Linked DNA regions of Schizosaccharomyces pombe. The protein of the gene in region 1 purifies or fractionates together with the protein of each later gene. This does not show direct contact. Each region holds a gene or a part of one and is shown in the gene's direction. Other genes may lie near its edges.

Region 1 (8,219 bases):
GTGGATTTTGCAGTTTTAGAGGAAAAAGGTAAATAAACTTAAATACAACTTTCTCGTTCGGTCAGAGGCTGAGGTACCAAGAATGTTTTGGGCTGTAAAAAATGGTAATAAAGGCCGAACTTCTAGTATTAACGAGTGAAGCAAGTTTTATCTTTTATAATACCTAAATTAAGCCAGCGATACTATACAAAGTAGAAGTGCCAACTGTCTACACTAAGGGAACCCCAAGGGCAGATGGAGAAAGGAGTGTATCGACTTGTGGTGTAGTGTATTACATGAATCGCATCAAATTTTTAAAGTAATGTTGCGCATCGTTTTTTTAATTTATCGCAACAGTGATAATTTTTACCAAAAAAAAACACTATTCTTGTAAACTACGTTAACTTTACATAGTGTTCTACAAGGATTGTAAATTCGTATAAGGAAAATTTGTGATTTCGTTTTCAAATCACAAAAAAATAGAATAGTTTGGATTATGAAGTATGTTTTAAATTTGTAAGTTTTTATTTTCTTGTCTTTTTTTTTTAATTCCACATTATTGAATGAACGCATTTTACCATTCCAGCAACTTAAAATCCGTTCACATTTCGTTTTCCCATTGAATTATTGATGAGTGTGATGAACAGAAAACAAAGTGTCATGCTCATTAAGGTTTTCATATTTTTCTTATTAGACTCACAATTACATACACTAGTAGAGACAGGTATGGTGAATGAATTGCTAACATTTTGAATGCCATCATTACAAACTAGTTAGTATCAAATTATAGTCGGTATCATCCGAGGCTGCACATAACAATGTAGCGATAAAAAGTAATTTGAAATTTTAGCACATACAGGAATCAGGGATGAGTGGCAATTTAGTAATAATCGTGAATATTCCGATGTACCAGTGCAAGCTAAGTTATTGTTCGCTAAGCTTGTTTTGGAAGCGTTTATATGTAAGTATGTCTGATCTATTTTAAACAATTGCATGGATAAAGTCTCGGCCTTTTGTCTTGCATAAAGTCATATTAAATTGAAATTGGCGGGAAACCAGAATTAGGATAGAATAAGATTAGTGTAGTATAGAATTAACAAGAAAGGTATGCATAAAGAGCATTAATAGAGGTTTATTAGAAAAATAAAGCGATAAAAAGGAAATGTAGTAGAGCAAGAGAAGTAAATTCTTTTAATTTTGAAATTTCCGCCAATGTATCGTCCAACCGACGCTGCTTGTTATACTACGCAGTTTGAATGTCTAGCGATTTCCATAAATCAACTTCTTTGAAAACATTCGCTAGCATTCAGGACGAAAGGCGATGTGTAAACAATGAGGAGACTTAACTTACCACCGCTAGTCTTAACTTCACTGGATAATGTTATAGAATAATGTTGTAGAAACCGGTATAGGAAACAGTGATTTTCCCAGGGTTGCTGTTATCTCGGATTCCCGTTTTACATTGCTTTTGGCAGGGAATTACGATAGCAAACCAACTAAAATTTCCTTTCCGTCTTTAAACCGAGACGCTATAGTACAATTGATTCGTTAAGTTCCCGATGGCGGGCGATTTCATGACGAGAAAAAAAATCGGTAATTCGTAGACTAGAAGAAAGAAACCATTTTCAAATAATATCGTTCTACTAGAATCGGAACATGCAACCGAATGAATTTGTTTTTTTAAAATATTTTTAACGTTACTTCAAATGTACGGTATGGAAACGTAATTGACAATTGGCGAAATAGACGAATTCAATTTAAGAGATTTGAATACATGGAGAGATTGAATGTATAGTATCTAATTAAGGAGAATTGATGAATTTTTTAGATTTTTTAATGTGATTCCGGTTCTTCGCTATAATTGCTTGCATTCCAAAATCCCCGTAGCATCCATTTCCATCAATGGTTTTTCAATTCCCGTACACGGTTATTTTTCCACCGCTCTGCATTGCGAGTTCTGTGGCAATACCCAATGTTCTACTAGGATATTCTATTAAACCACGCTATATCAAGGAACCAGGCCTTTCCATCTTCCCCATTCTATTCATAGGAATTTTGGCCGCTTCCCTAGTAGAAGGGACAGCCAAAAAAGAGCGAAATTTCAAATGGACTTTTATAGGATCTTGGTAATATGCATCCATGTATATACCAGGCTAGTTTTTGCGCCATTGAAAAAGGATTTAAAACTTTTACGCTTAATCAGCCTTTGCATTCCAATAATTCGACCTTTTTCTTTCCTCATTTACCCACCACCCAAATCTTTCTCCCCGCTCAACTCTATTCTTCCATCTATCTTACCCATTATTCCTTTTGCTATCTCATCTAGCCTGCTCTTTTCATATACTTTTCACGTTTTCTACCGTTTCCTTTTCCAGCCGCTATTATCGGTCCCATATGCCAATTCCAAACAAACCAATTGTTTACTCGTAGCGAGCTTTGTTTATTTACCCTATCGGAGCCCGTTACCGGTTGTCATAGAAATAATGGTACAGCGTTACTTGTAGATTCAGCTCTTCCCAATCAGTGGTGTAGCAAAGAGGATGATCAATGGTTACAACAAATTTCCCTTTGTTTACATTGTACATAACCGATTGTTTACATTTTGGTTTCTAGGTAGTAAGTCAAAGAAAAATGTTGCACCTCGAAGCTTTTTAGAAAAAAAAAGCGTAAAAGAACTATTAAAGAATTTTCCAATGACACATTGATTCCATTATATTCTATCCCATTCTTCTTATCTACTTTCTCTTCTGCCACCTTCTTGCTTCTTCCATCCCACACCATATCCAGTATTTTACATACGATTCTAGCAATATGGCAAGAAACCGTCACTAAAAATTTCACTATAGTGAAAACCGAAAAATTACACTTTCTATTGTAGGGTTAACTTAATTAATTTTAATTTATTTATTTTTTTTTTTTGCTCGAAAGCATGTGCATAGTAGGATTGTACGAAAATAGCAGCAGGATGTTTATTTATAAGTGTGCAAATTGAATGAAAAGACATTCCTAATGTTGGTAAACGTAATTCGTTCCGCTAATGCTGCTAAAGCGTAGAGGGTTTGAATAAAATACATTTAAATATTAGCTAGTTTTTCATGAAAGACGATCGATTTAAATAAAAAAATCTGATCTGTTTTTCTATTGCATATTTTTCTCTTGCTTAGATATTTTTTCTTTTTGATTATTCGACAACTTTACTTCCATCGTACTCATTTTTTATATCAAACAAATTTTAATTATTTACTTTCTTGTCTTTTTTTTGTAATTCACCCATTCAGTTTTTTAACTTTATAATTTTTTTTATTCATCTCAATAGCTCATGTTTTCTGCAGTCTCTTTCTTGCCTTCAACTATCCCTCCTTCTATTAATTGATACATATATTTTGCGAGCTGCTGGTATCAACATTAGGAATTACTTAGCAAGACCAACTACGCTGCTTATAAAAGGACCGGCTTGTCTTGATAAAAATTGCATCTGATTACTACTTCGATACTCCTCTCCATTGGGGTTTTTATGGCTTAGTAGTCACCCTTTTAAATATTAGTTTTTTAATAATATTTAAGTATTTTTATTGTGTTTCGTTAAGATTTATATGGTGGTCCTGCAACGTACGCCAGCCGTCTCTCCTGAACCAAACACTACCCTCCGCCAACAACACATCTCGAAAGTGTTTGCGTAGTCCTGAAGTTTGGTTGAAAACAAACGTCTATAGGATTCACATATCGGGAAAACTGTTTAACAATCCGTATTTTTAAATTATTCTCTTTTCTCCCGATTAAAGTCTCCTTCGTGTGAGGCAACTAGGCCTGCTTTTTTCAAGTTTCCTTTGAAAAAAGAGCAAGACCCCATTTGCCTTCTGGACTGCAACAAAAGTTTTTCCTTGATTGTGAAAACAAACAGGCATCGGTTTTTTTTTCCGACTTGTTTTTGCTTCATCGTTTTTTTTTCTCTACTTCTTCTTTTACCTCCCCGTTATTCAATTCTTATACCTTGTGGTAAAAAGAACTTTGACGGTCTTTTATTCGTTTCATATTGCTTTTGAGAGATTCAAAGTTTTCCTTTTTTCTCTTTTATTATTATTATTGCTAATTTCATATAATAACGATCATTTGCGGATACTCCTCGTTTATACCCACCAGCCTTTTTCTTCTCGCTTCTTTCCCGCTTTAAAAAAAATCTTTCCCCTCCCCTTCTTTTTGGAGTGCCCTTGAAGTTTTTTTATATCTAAATCAAAGAAAAAGACTGAGAGAAAGTTATCTTATCCCCAAGAATCAACAGCATCTAGTTCTTTTCTTAAAGTTCTGGCTTCTTCATTTCATCTGTTGAATCGACAGACATTGGTATTTAGGAGCTTTGTCCATTGAGCCTTCTTTACTTTGTCTTAATAGACGTACTGTTTGCAAAGGGTTTTATACAGTGATTTTAGCGTGAAAAAAATTAAGAGCTCTTCGGTTTTTTCCGAGTTTCAAAATTTATTGTATATTCCTTTCTCTTGTATTTTGGGTTCATCATTTGTGGCATTCTCCGTTTTACACGCATCTGTTAGTGCATTACTTTCTTGATATTTTATCGCATTGGAGTAGATTTTGTCTTACTTAAATTTTATTTCAAAGCTTTGGCAAATCATCTGCTTACCTTTATTTCCTTTCTTTCTTTTTCATTACAGTCTTTTACAGGGAATTCCTTCCTTTTTTTAGAAATTTTCTTTCGTTAATATCTACCCATATATCGCCATTTATAAACTTGACGCTTATCCACCCTTACATACGGTTATCGTCATTTCAACCTGTTAACGGAGTGAATTTCTTTTAGATAAGTCACTTTGATCATTCACGGAGTTTGCTTATCTTGTTTGTTGAAGCTTTTCTCTTTTAGTGTTTGTATTTCTATTTCTTTTCCTTTACTTTTCTGATATTTTATTCCATCCATTAATTGGTTCTTTTTTCATTTTGGCTTACAAGAGCGGATAAGCATTAAGTCATCAGTCCCTCTTTTCAGTTCCTATTGAAATTGTTCATTCTTTTCTTTTTTCTGTTCGTTATTCTTTAACTGGGAACTCCTTTCACCATATTTCTAATTAGTCCTCATTCCTCAATCTATTTACAAGTTTTAAGCATAGTAGAAAATGTCTGGAAATAATGAAAATGTTTCAGGTATTACTGGTCATGATGCTGTCTCGGATGATCAGTACGCTTACGATTCAGAGGTTTATGATGACCAAAATGCATACCAACGCCAGCCTGCTGATGCGTATTCCAATGAGGAGTTTTTGGATCAGGCTGACTACGATTCTATGTATGGAGAGGGTTACAATGGGTATGATTACCCTACTGGTGTAACTGAAAGTTATGGAGATGAATACACTCCTGTCGACACCGCCTCTTCAGGTATCAATCAATATTCCACTGAAAAAGGAAAATTTACTCGTCCTTCAGATGAATACGAGTCTGAGTATTCAGATTACAATGCTCAGCCCTCAGATGCCAACAATTTTTACAATTTGAGAGGCGATGGTAGATACAACGCTTATGATCCTAGTTCCGATTCGTTGGCTAACGTCTACAACAGTGTGCCTTACGGTAGCAGTCCGTATGATTTTAGCAACTCTTCTTTTGTTGGTAATTCGGGCTCAGGTACCCCATTGGATGGCGATAGTGGTTCATTCTATGCCGATAGCGCTAATCTCACAAATCGTGAGCCTTATCCTGCCTGGACTCCTGAAAACGAACTCCCTTTAACTAAGGAAGAGATTGAAGACATATTCATTGATCTAACCAATAAATTGGGTTTCCAACGCGATTCCATGCGTAATATGTATGATTTTTTTATGTGTCTTTTAGATTCTCGTGCTTCTCGCATGACTCCAGATCAAGCACTGCTTACGCTTCATGCCGATTATATTGGTAGTGATATTGCTAACTATAAAAAATGGTATTTTGCTTCTCAGATGGATCGGGAAGATGCAGTCGGTCTTGCTAATGTTGGCATTTATGGTGGTAAAGTTACTTCTATCAAAGAGAAAGGAAAGTTCTTTTCTCGAAACAAAAAAGCCCCTAAAGTTGTTAAGCCTCCAAGGAAGTCTCGCTTCAAGCGCAAGAAGAAAAAGGAGCAACCCGAGGAGGCGGAAGACGAATACATTGATGTTAATACCGATGATTCTTTAGAATCCGCCGAATATCGTTGGAGATCTCACATGCGCTCAATGACTCAATTCGAGCGTGCTCAACAAATTGCATTGTGGCTTTTGTTGTGGGGTGAGGCAAACAATGTTCGTTTCATGCCTGAGGTAATAGCCTTCCTTTTCAAATGTGCTTACGATTATATTATTTCACCTGAGGCACAAAACGTCACTGAACCAGTTCCTGAAGGATATTACTTGGATAATATTGTTTCCCCACTCTACCAATATATGCACGATCAGCAGTTTGAAATTATCAATGGGAAATATGTACGTCGGGAACGTCCACATGACCAGTTAATTGGATACGATGATATTAACCAACTTTTCTGGCATGCTGAGGGTATAGCACGTCTTATTTTTGAAGACGGCACTCGTCTTATTGATATTCCTGCTTCTGAGCGTTTTCATAGGCTTCCAGAAGTTCAATGGAATCGTGCTTTTTATAAAACTTATTATGAATCCCGTTCTTGGTTTCATCTTATTACCAATTTCAATCGTATTTGGGTCATCCACTTTGGTATGTTTTGGTATTTTACTGCTTTCAACTCTCCTACTCTTTACACAAAACCTTTCCATCAGCGCGATGGTCCCAAGCCAACAGGTGCTTCCCAATGGGCTGCTGTTGCTTGTACCTCTGTTGTTTCTTGTATTATCATGGCTGCTGCTTCTTTGTGTGAATATCTTTTTGTCCCCCGTCGTTTCCCTGGATCAAAACCCATTTGGAAGCGTTTATGTATCATTGTTTTAATCGCTATCATTAACTTGATTCCTATCGTCTATATCTTCGGTTTCTCAAGTAAGCATCAACAGCGTAGTGGTCGACGTATCGCTGTTGGTGTAGTTGCATTTTTGATGTCTATTGCTACATACGTCTACTTTTCTCTTGTACCTCTACAAAGTACATTTGGAAAATTGTCCGTGAAAGATTCTCGTAAATACTTGGCAAACAAGTATTTCACTTCAAATTTTGCACCATTAAAATTTGATAACCAAGCACTCTCTGTTATTATTTGGGTCTGTGTTTTCACATGCAAATTTGCTGAATCTTATTTCTTCCTTACCTTGTCTATCAGAGATCCTATTATTGTTTTGAGTACCATGCGACCTTATCTTTGCTCTATTTATTGGGCGGGTAGCAGATTATGTTTTGTCCAACCAAGGATCATTTTGGGTATCATGTATTTTACTGACTTGATTCTCTTCTTTTTGGATACGTACCTTTGGTATATTATTTTCAATACTATCTTCTCTGTTTTAAGATCATTCGTCTTAGGTATTTCGATCCTCACACCATGGAGAAATATCTTTAGCCGTATGCCCCAAAGAATTTATGGTAAAATTTTGGCCACGAATGACATGGAAATTAAGTACAAACCTAAAATTTTAATTTCACAAATTTGGAATGCGATTGTCATTTCTATGTATCGTGAACATTTACTTTCCATTGATCATGTACAACGTCTTCTGTATCATCAAGTTCCAGCTGAAGAAGGACGTAGGACTCTTAGAACCCCTACGTTTTTTGTCTCTCAGGACGATAATATTGTTCACACTACTTTCTTCCCTGCAAATTCAGAGGCAGAGCGTCGTCTTTCTTTCTTTGCACAATCTTTAGCTACTCCCATTCCAGAACCAGTACCTGTTGACAACATGCCTACTTTCACTGTATTGATTCCTCATTATGCTGAGAAAATTCTTCTATCATTGCGAGAAATCATTAGAGAAGAGGACCAGTTGTCTCGTGTCACCCTTTTAGAATATTTGAAACAGCTTCATCCTGTTGAATGGGACTGTTTTGTGAAGGATACTAAGATTCTGGTAGAGGAAAATGCTCCATATGAAAATGATTCTGTCTCTGAAAAGGAAGGTACATATAAAAGTAAAGTTGATGATCTTCCTTTTTACTGTATTGGTTTCAAATCTGCTATGCCCGAGTATACGTTACGTACCCGTATTTGGGCTTCCTTAAGAAGTCAAACGTTGTATCGTACTATCAGCGGTTTTATGAACTATAGCAGAGCTATCAAGCTTTTATATCGTGTTGAAAACCCCGAAATC
Region 2 (7,497 bases), on another chromosome or scaffold:
TTTGGTGAACCTCTACCTCTTGACTTGTATATAAGTTCTTCCATTAAGCCAGGAACGTCATGTAAAGAAAATAAAGCAATAGCAGATTCATGAATGTTCTTACCGGTGGCTCGTCTTTGGGACGAACCAGAGAAGACATGAGGTTTAGACCCATACAGAGTTTTCAAAGCATTTGTACGGGAAAATTTCGATGACTTTTCAATATCCGACCTCAAAGTTGAGAGAGCTTGATCTGATAAGGGCTCGATAGTTGCCCGTTTTAAAGGTAAATGTTTGATACTATTTAAAAAAGGTTTCTCTTGTTCCAGAAGAATTAAATATGCCTCTCCTGTTTTACCAGCCCTACCCGTACGTCCAATTCGATGAATGTAATCATCGGTATTGCTAGGACCAGTTATTTGGACAACCTGGGTAATGTTAGGGAAATCCATTCCCCGTGCGACAACATCTGTAGCAAATAAAATACCACTTTGACATTTCCTAAAGCTTTCTGTAATAGATCTACGCTGCGCAGTAGTTAAACCGGAATGTAAAATAAAGCAAGGAATCTTCAAATGATTTTCTAAAACTCCGCCAACAAAGTCAACCATGCTTATGGTGGGAAGAAAAACGATAATACGACTTGAGGGATTTGAAGAAGTGAGTTGTTGTAAAAGTGAGAGAGAAGAAGAGAATACCTTATCGAGCTTGGTTTCTATAACAAATTGGGGCACACGCTCATGCGTAGGAGGCTCGTTTGGATCCAGACAGTTTATGAGCTTAAAATCAGTCCCAAGAATTCCACGAAAAACGTTAGAGACTTTTGGCGGCATTGTTGCACTAAAACACAACTTCCTGGTCTTAGTAGTTGTGACAGCTTCATGAATGTTCAAAATTGACTCAGCAAACCCCATATCCATTAAACGGTCAGCTTCATCCAAAATGAAAGAGTCAGTAGATAAAGATTCAAGAATCCTTGGATTCTGAAGGTGATCTTCCAAACGCCCAGGAGTTGCAATCAGAAGATTGGCATTACCACGACGAATTGCATTTTCCTCTCTCATCTTTGAGTTTCCGCCAATGGCATAAGAAACGCGGATTCCCGTCCCATAAGTCAATTTTCTAGCTTCTTCAAAAATTTGTAAGGCCAATTCTCTTGTCGGGCTAAGGATTACGGAGTGAATTTTGGAGGAATTCAAACGTGGCTTTCCCTTAAGCACATCTTTAAAGGCCACTAACAAGAAAGCCAAAGTCTTTCCTGTACCTGTTTTTGCCTGCACTACAGCATTCTCTTCGTTAGGAAAAACTTCATTCAATACCCGCTGCTGAACTGGAGTCATTTTCTCGAACCCTGCGCGAGACAAACTATTTTTGAAAGTACTAGAAAGAGAAGCAACCTCTGAAAACAGCGTTGGTTGCTGTGATTTCATTGTCGAGTTCCATCTTATAAATCCTTGAACTTTGGGTAAGTTAAATCTCCCAACAGTTGAAAAAATAGCTCCTTTCAGTGAGATATTCATTCTCGACTTTCTGAACTATACTGCTTGTATTACCAATTGACTCAAAATTACGAAGAAATAAATATACTTGTAACTCAATATAGTTCAAAAAAAAGTTCCAAAAATAATGGTTGTGGAAGTAGGGATACATGAGCCAAAGAAAAAAGTTAAGAGGAATTTTACAAAATTTTAATCTTCAGTAAATATGGTATTTCCTCAATATTATGAAAAAAAAGGAATGTTTAAAGCGTCATTTCATGTAGGAAATCCAACTTTCAATTTTTCTTCGATTCAAGATTGACAGCTGTTTTAACACGAACTCTTCAGCTAAAGAGTTGTTATATATAATTCTATGTAAAAAAATATTTTAGGAAAGTAGTTATGTATTGAGTTTAATTGTATCCTTCAATTTATGTCTATAAATCGATTCCTGTAATGTTTTCAAGCTTTAGTTATAGTAGTTCAAAATTTGAAAGAATTGATTGTTTTTTCCAAGTTCCAAATGCATCTTATTTTGTTACAATTCTTATAAAATAACTGGTTCATTTTATTTCAGCCATATTTTAAGTCCAATTTTATTGAAAAAAAAGTGGGAAGATACAACCTGAAAGAAAAGATTATTGAGACAACAAAGTCTATAAAAAAAATAACTGGTTTGCTTGCATAGTTGCCCCATGCAAACAAAATCGTTTTTATGAAACAAAGCGTGAAGACTAAAATTATTAGACACGTTATAATTTAATGATACTTCGTTTTGCTTCTTTAATGGGAGAAATTAGCCTCCAAAAGCAAAATAAGACTTGTCAAAACCAATTGATATTCCAATTGTTGAAAAAAAGTCAAAGGCCCTTCAGTATCCGGAATTATTACGGCTTCATGTATAATATGATTTAATCCATTTCACTCGGAATCGGCTTACCTGCTAACTATTTAATACAGATTTATCGTTTGAGAGACACCTTGAAGCTAGAAAATGTTTTGAGTTTTCTGTAAAAAGTAAGAACACAGCAAAATATGCTTAAATTCAATATTGGATGGCTGCTCTAAATGAAATGTTTTGTACTGATGCTCATAAATTAATTTTCTCATCCACGCAAACCCAAGTCGAATATTTTAGGCACATGTGTTTGTATGAAACAGATGAAAGCATTTTCTATTCAGTTCCATTACCCGGCTTTGCATTCATCACGTTTTTTCTAAAAATTAATCTTTTGTTTACTTTGGTATATAAAGTAATACTAGGTAGTACGTTGTTTTGAAAATCATGGGCTACGTCCCCCTACGATAATTTCTATTAACGAAAATGAAGTTAATACGAAAAAGTATTGTTTGAACAGCGCGTCGCTTCTTACAACTTTGTTTGTTCTAAGCCAAAAGCTCAATTGGTGGGTATTTGGATATAGTGCCATTGTAATGAATCTTTTGGGTTGAGTTTATAAGAATATTGCATGTTACAATACCGATAAAAGTGTGATTGCTCACAAAGTATACAAATAGTAAAAAATGGTGGCTAGCAACAATATGAAAGGGCTTCGAGCGTTTATCTCGGATTTGAGAAGTTTAGAGCATGACGATGAAGAGAAACGTGTAAATGTTGAATTGGCTAAAATTCGTGCAAAGTTTCAAAGTTCTACTTTATCTGCGTATGACCGAAAAAAATATGTCAGCAAGCTTTTATATATATATATGCTGGGTTATCCCATCACTTTTGGCCATATGGAAGCTGCAAAACTCCTTTCAGGGACGAAGTATAGTGAAAAACTCATTGGTTATTTGGCAGTTGCTTTGTTGCTAAACGAGAACCATGAGTTGATGAAGTTGGTTATAAATAGTATTAAAAAAGATCTTTTGAGTCATGACTCTTTACAAAATTCGTTGGCCTTGCATACAATAGCCAACATTGGTGGCCGAGAATTATGTGAAACCGTGTACTACGACATCTATAAACTTCTAATGTCGGCAAGCAACGAAAATATTGTTCGTCAGAAATCTGCCTTAGCTCTCCTACATATTTATCGAAAGTTTCCGGATCTAATCAACCCAGAATGGTTTGAGCCGATAGTTATGATACTAGGTGATGATGACCTTAACGTTTCGTTGGCGGTCTCTAATTTTGTTAATTTAATCGTAATTCGGGAGCCAAAATATCAAAAATTTGCTTATGGAAAAGCGGTTGGTAAACTGAAGAACATAGTTTTTGAACACGGTTATTCAAGTGACTATTTGTATTATTCTGTACCTTGCCCTTGGCTACAGGTTAATCTTTGTCGTATTCTACTTGCTTGCGAAAGGCCTTCGGACAATCCCACAAGGGCAACTCTAATACGTGTACTAGATCGAATCCTTAGTTTGCCAAATGATAACTCAAACGTACAACAAGTAAATGCGGTGAATGCTATCCTTTTCGAAGCCATCAAACTGGCTTTTCTAGTCGACGAATCTCATTCTTTGTACGAAAAATGTATGGACAGACTTGCTGACATGATCGCTGATAAAGAAAGCAATATTCGGTATTTGGCTTTTGAGACGACTGCCTATCTAATTTCATGCGGACATTCTATCACTTCTTTAAAGCATTATAAGGAATTAATATTATCCTCTTTGAGGTACAAGGATGTTTCCCTTAGAAAAAAAAGTTTAGAACTCTTGTATATGATGTGTGACGAGGAAAATGCTAAACTCATCGTTGCCGATTTATTGCAGTATTTACCACATCTTGACTCAGTAACTCAGGAGGATCTTATTTCTAAGGTTGCCATAATTTCAGAGACCTTTGCTACCGACTATGAATGGTATGTCGATGTTACTATACAACTGCTTCGGATAGCTGGAAAATCCGCTGATGATGGCGTCTGGCATCAGCTAGTTCATGTCATTGTGAACAACGAAGAAATCCAGGAATATGCTACCAAACGGCTATTCAGCTTACTACAGTCTGAAACGATTCATGAATGCTTAGTCAAAGCTGGAGGTTATGTTCTTGGTGAATTTGGGCATTTAATTACCGATTACCCGGACAGCCAACCTGTTCATCAGTTTTCTACAATTTATCGTAAGCTGAATGTTTCTTCTCCCAGTACGAGGGTTCTGCTTTTAACCACTTTAATCAAACTGGCAAATTTGCAGCCTGAATTGAACGATAGAATTGCGAAGGTTTTTCAGGAATATTCTACTATTATAAATCCAGAAGTACAACAAAGAGCATGTGAATATCTTCAACTTTTAAAAATGCCAAGGGACTTTCTCCAATTGGTTTGTGATGAAGTTCCCCCATTTTTAGACGGAAATCGAGATGGAGTGCATCCAAAGTCACGTCCTAGCAGCAAGGTAAATTTGGTTGATACCTATCCTCAAACCATTCCCAATGTTTCCAAACCATCCACGCCCATTGATGTTCCAGAATATGACATATCAGCATGTCTTCCTGGGTTTTATCGTTTATGTTGGAAAGATAAGGGAATTTTGTACCAAGATTCTCAAATACAAATTGGTGTTCGTTCAGAATATCACAATTCAGAAGGCGCCATATATTTGTATTATGAAAATCGACAGTCAAATACGTTGAAGTCACTCTCTTCAACGTTAATTAGAACCTTTTCTACCTTCCATTTAGCAACAACTTTTCAAGATACAAATTTGCCATCAGGAGTTCAACTTCAGCAAAAATATGTTATGAGTGGAGTTAATGAGATATTCGAACCTCCGATTATTCATGTGTCTTATGTTACTGGTGTTATACGTTCGATAGACCTCCAATTACCGGTTTTGTTATCAAAATTTATGAAACCGACAATATTTGACAGCTATGATTTCTTTAACCATTGGGGTCAAATGGGAGTGGAAAGGGAAGCACAGTTAACTTTCGGACTCAACAGCAAAGATAGAAAGCTTGACGCAAAACGACTGACAAAAATAGTTAGTGGATTTCACTGGGGAATATGCCAAAATGTTGATTCTATTGCCCTTAATATTGTAGGAGCAGGAATTATTCGATTTGGTACACAGAATGTTGGATGTTTACTTCGTATTGAACCAAATTACGAACAAAATTTGATTCGTCTATCAATTCGTTCTACTAACACTTCAATAGCAAATACGTTGGCAAAAGAAATGCAAGAGATTTTAAGGAATTCGTTTTAATAGTTGTCGCTGCTACTCTCAAAAATTTTTATTGATTGTCATAGCTTTAATGCCTATGCCTCTGTCCACATTTGATGAGTTGAGTATCTCTTAGTGAAGATTTACCTTGAATTTTATTTTATATACTAACTTATACCCCTTTTATTGGAAGTACGAGAGTACAATACAATTTTAATGTATTCGAAGTGCTGTTCAATGATGTTTGTTATTTTATCTTTGTTTCTTTATATCTATTTGCTTTAGTGAACTTCTTCTAAGTGAAAATACTTATACTGTTTTTAATGGATAAAAACTCTTCCTTATTTGGCACACGCTAGGACATTAAACATCTAAATACTCTGTCTCGAAATATGCGCAGTCGATACCAACAAATCTTAATGTCCTTAATAAAAGTAATATAGACCTGAATAATTGAGACACTTTTTTGCTATTTATATCGTATAATTCACTTCTTTTCGTAAAAGCGACGAAGTGTAACCATCAGCATATCTTTGTCAAATATAACCCACTCAGAATCACAAGTTTGGAAGTATAAGCCAACAATTTATTGAATATTAATTTTTGTTTAATAAAAACTACTCACTTTATATTGCAATAGTCTTATTGTTTAAAACTTCAAACTATATGATATTAGCAACATTAGCGAGCACCGTAAATAAAGTCGTGCCAACACATTGACTATTCCAAAACTGTTCAGAGAAGTAAACAAAGAACCAAATAGCAGCTGAAACTTCATTGAAGGGTCACCTAGGACTTTTTGATGATGTCCCAACAGTTAATTGATTTTATTGATTCAAGAACACGGCATCCTTATAAGTCAGATGAAGTAGAGAAATTTCAACAAGAAGTCAATGAGCTTCAGCTTCCGGATCCTAACTCACTTCCTATTTTAAGCGAAGAAGAAAAGAGGCAGGCTCGCGAAGATGCCGCATTTCGAAGGTCTAGTGAAGGGCTTGAAGACGCATGGTTAGATTCAGCAATACCTGCCGACCCGACGCCTATTTTCCGAGACACAGTTGAGTTATTATGCGTATATCAATCCTTTGTCAAAAAATCGGCTTCTCTCGATACTGTTGCAAATTTCTTAGACTTTTCTACCGATTTTTCGACATTGTCAACGAAGAAAGATGAGACAGAAATTGCACCTGATTGTTTACATTACATAGCCGAATTACTTTTTCAGAAAAAGGAAAGAGAAGTGAAAGAAAAATGGAAGAACGAGCTCACCGAAAAACTTAAGACATTATTTAATTGGCCTGCTATTAACCCTAACTTGAAGGAATCATCAAAATTTGAAAGTTTTTTTGGTTTTGTCCGATCCATTCAATCGTTTAAAGATTCTGAAACAGGTCTTCCATTATTTATGCAGGTGTACATTACCCCCTATGTAAACCAGTTTCGTTACCACTTTATGTCTCAGAAGCAAACAAATGTATTGTCAAAACCAGAATGGTTTTTTGAGTTCTTACTAAAAGTTTTTCGCTCTAATCGTAGTTTCTACATGCTTATGCGTGATATAAAATTTTTTCCCGGCGTCCCTCCATTTTTTACATTTATCAATTTGCTAAACAACGTTGCAAAGGAAAAATTAACGCATATAATAAAGTATGATGATTATTTAGTTCATTTAGTTCACGAAACCCTACAATACTCTGTGCGGTTGGAGCAACATTTTCATTATACCCAAGACCCTTTAATTATTTTTCTTTTTGAGCAAAACGGAACTTATGATAAATGGTTGGGTTTAGAGACTCAATTGAGCCTCACAAAGTTGGAAGATATAAAAATTGCATCAGATGCTTGGGAGCTGGAAAGCGATCAGTCTGATGATTTCAGCTCAGCGGTCCCCACGAAAATGACTGTACGATTTCGAGACATG

The links. Proteins that work in one complex are often made in the same cells at the same time.
Region 2: the proteins of bgs4 (region 1) and apl3 purify together in Schizosaccharomyces pombe (co-purification; one study listed by BioGRID). This does not show direct contact.

The regions. Positions count from the first base shown.
Region 1 is NC_003421.2:2,252,033-2,260,251, reverse strand, and holds the start of bgs4 (cell wall and secondary septum 1,6 branched 1,3-beta-glucan synthase catalytic subunit Bgs4), read left to right. Parts: upstream 1-3,599; 5' UTR 3,600-5,105; coding exon 5,106-8,219. Other genes in the region: SPOM_SPCC1840.13 (uncharacterized protein), read left to right, coding at 2,085-2,483.
Region 2 is NC_003423.3:1,422,791-1,430,287, reverse strand, and holds apl3 (AP-2 adaptor complex subunit Alp3), read left to right. Parts: upstream 1-2,840; 5' UTR 2,841-2,981; coding exon 2,982-5,618; 3' UTR 5,619-6,060; downstream 6,061-7,497. Other genes in the region: ATP-dependent RNA helicase Mss116, read right to left, coding at 1-1,499; drp1 (RINT1 family protein), read left to right, coding at 6,379-7,497. UniProt on the Schizosaccharomyces pombe protein: Adaptins are components of the adaptor complexes which link clathrin to receptors in coated vesicles. Clathrin-associated protein complexes are believed to interact with the cytoplasmic tails of membrane proteins, leading to their selection and concentration.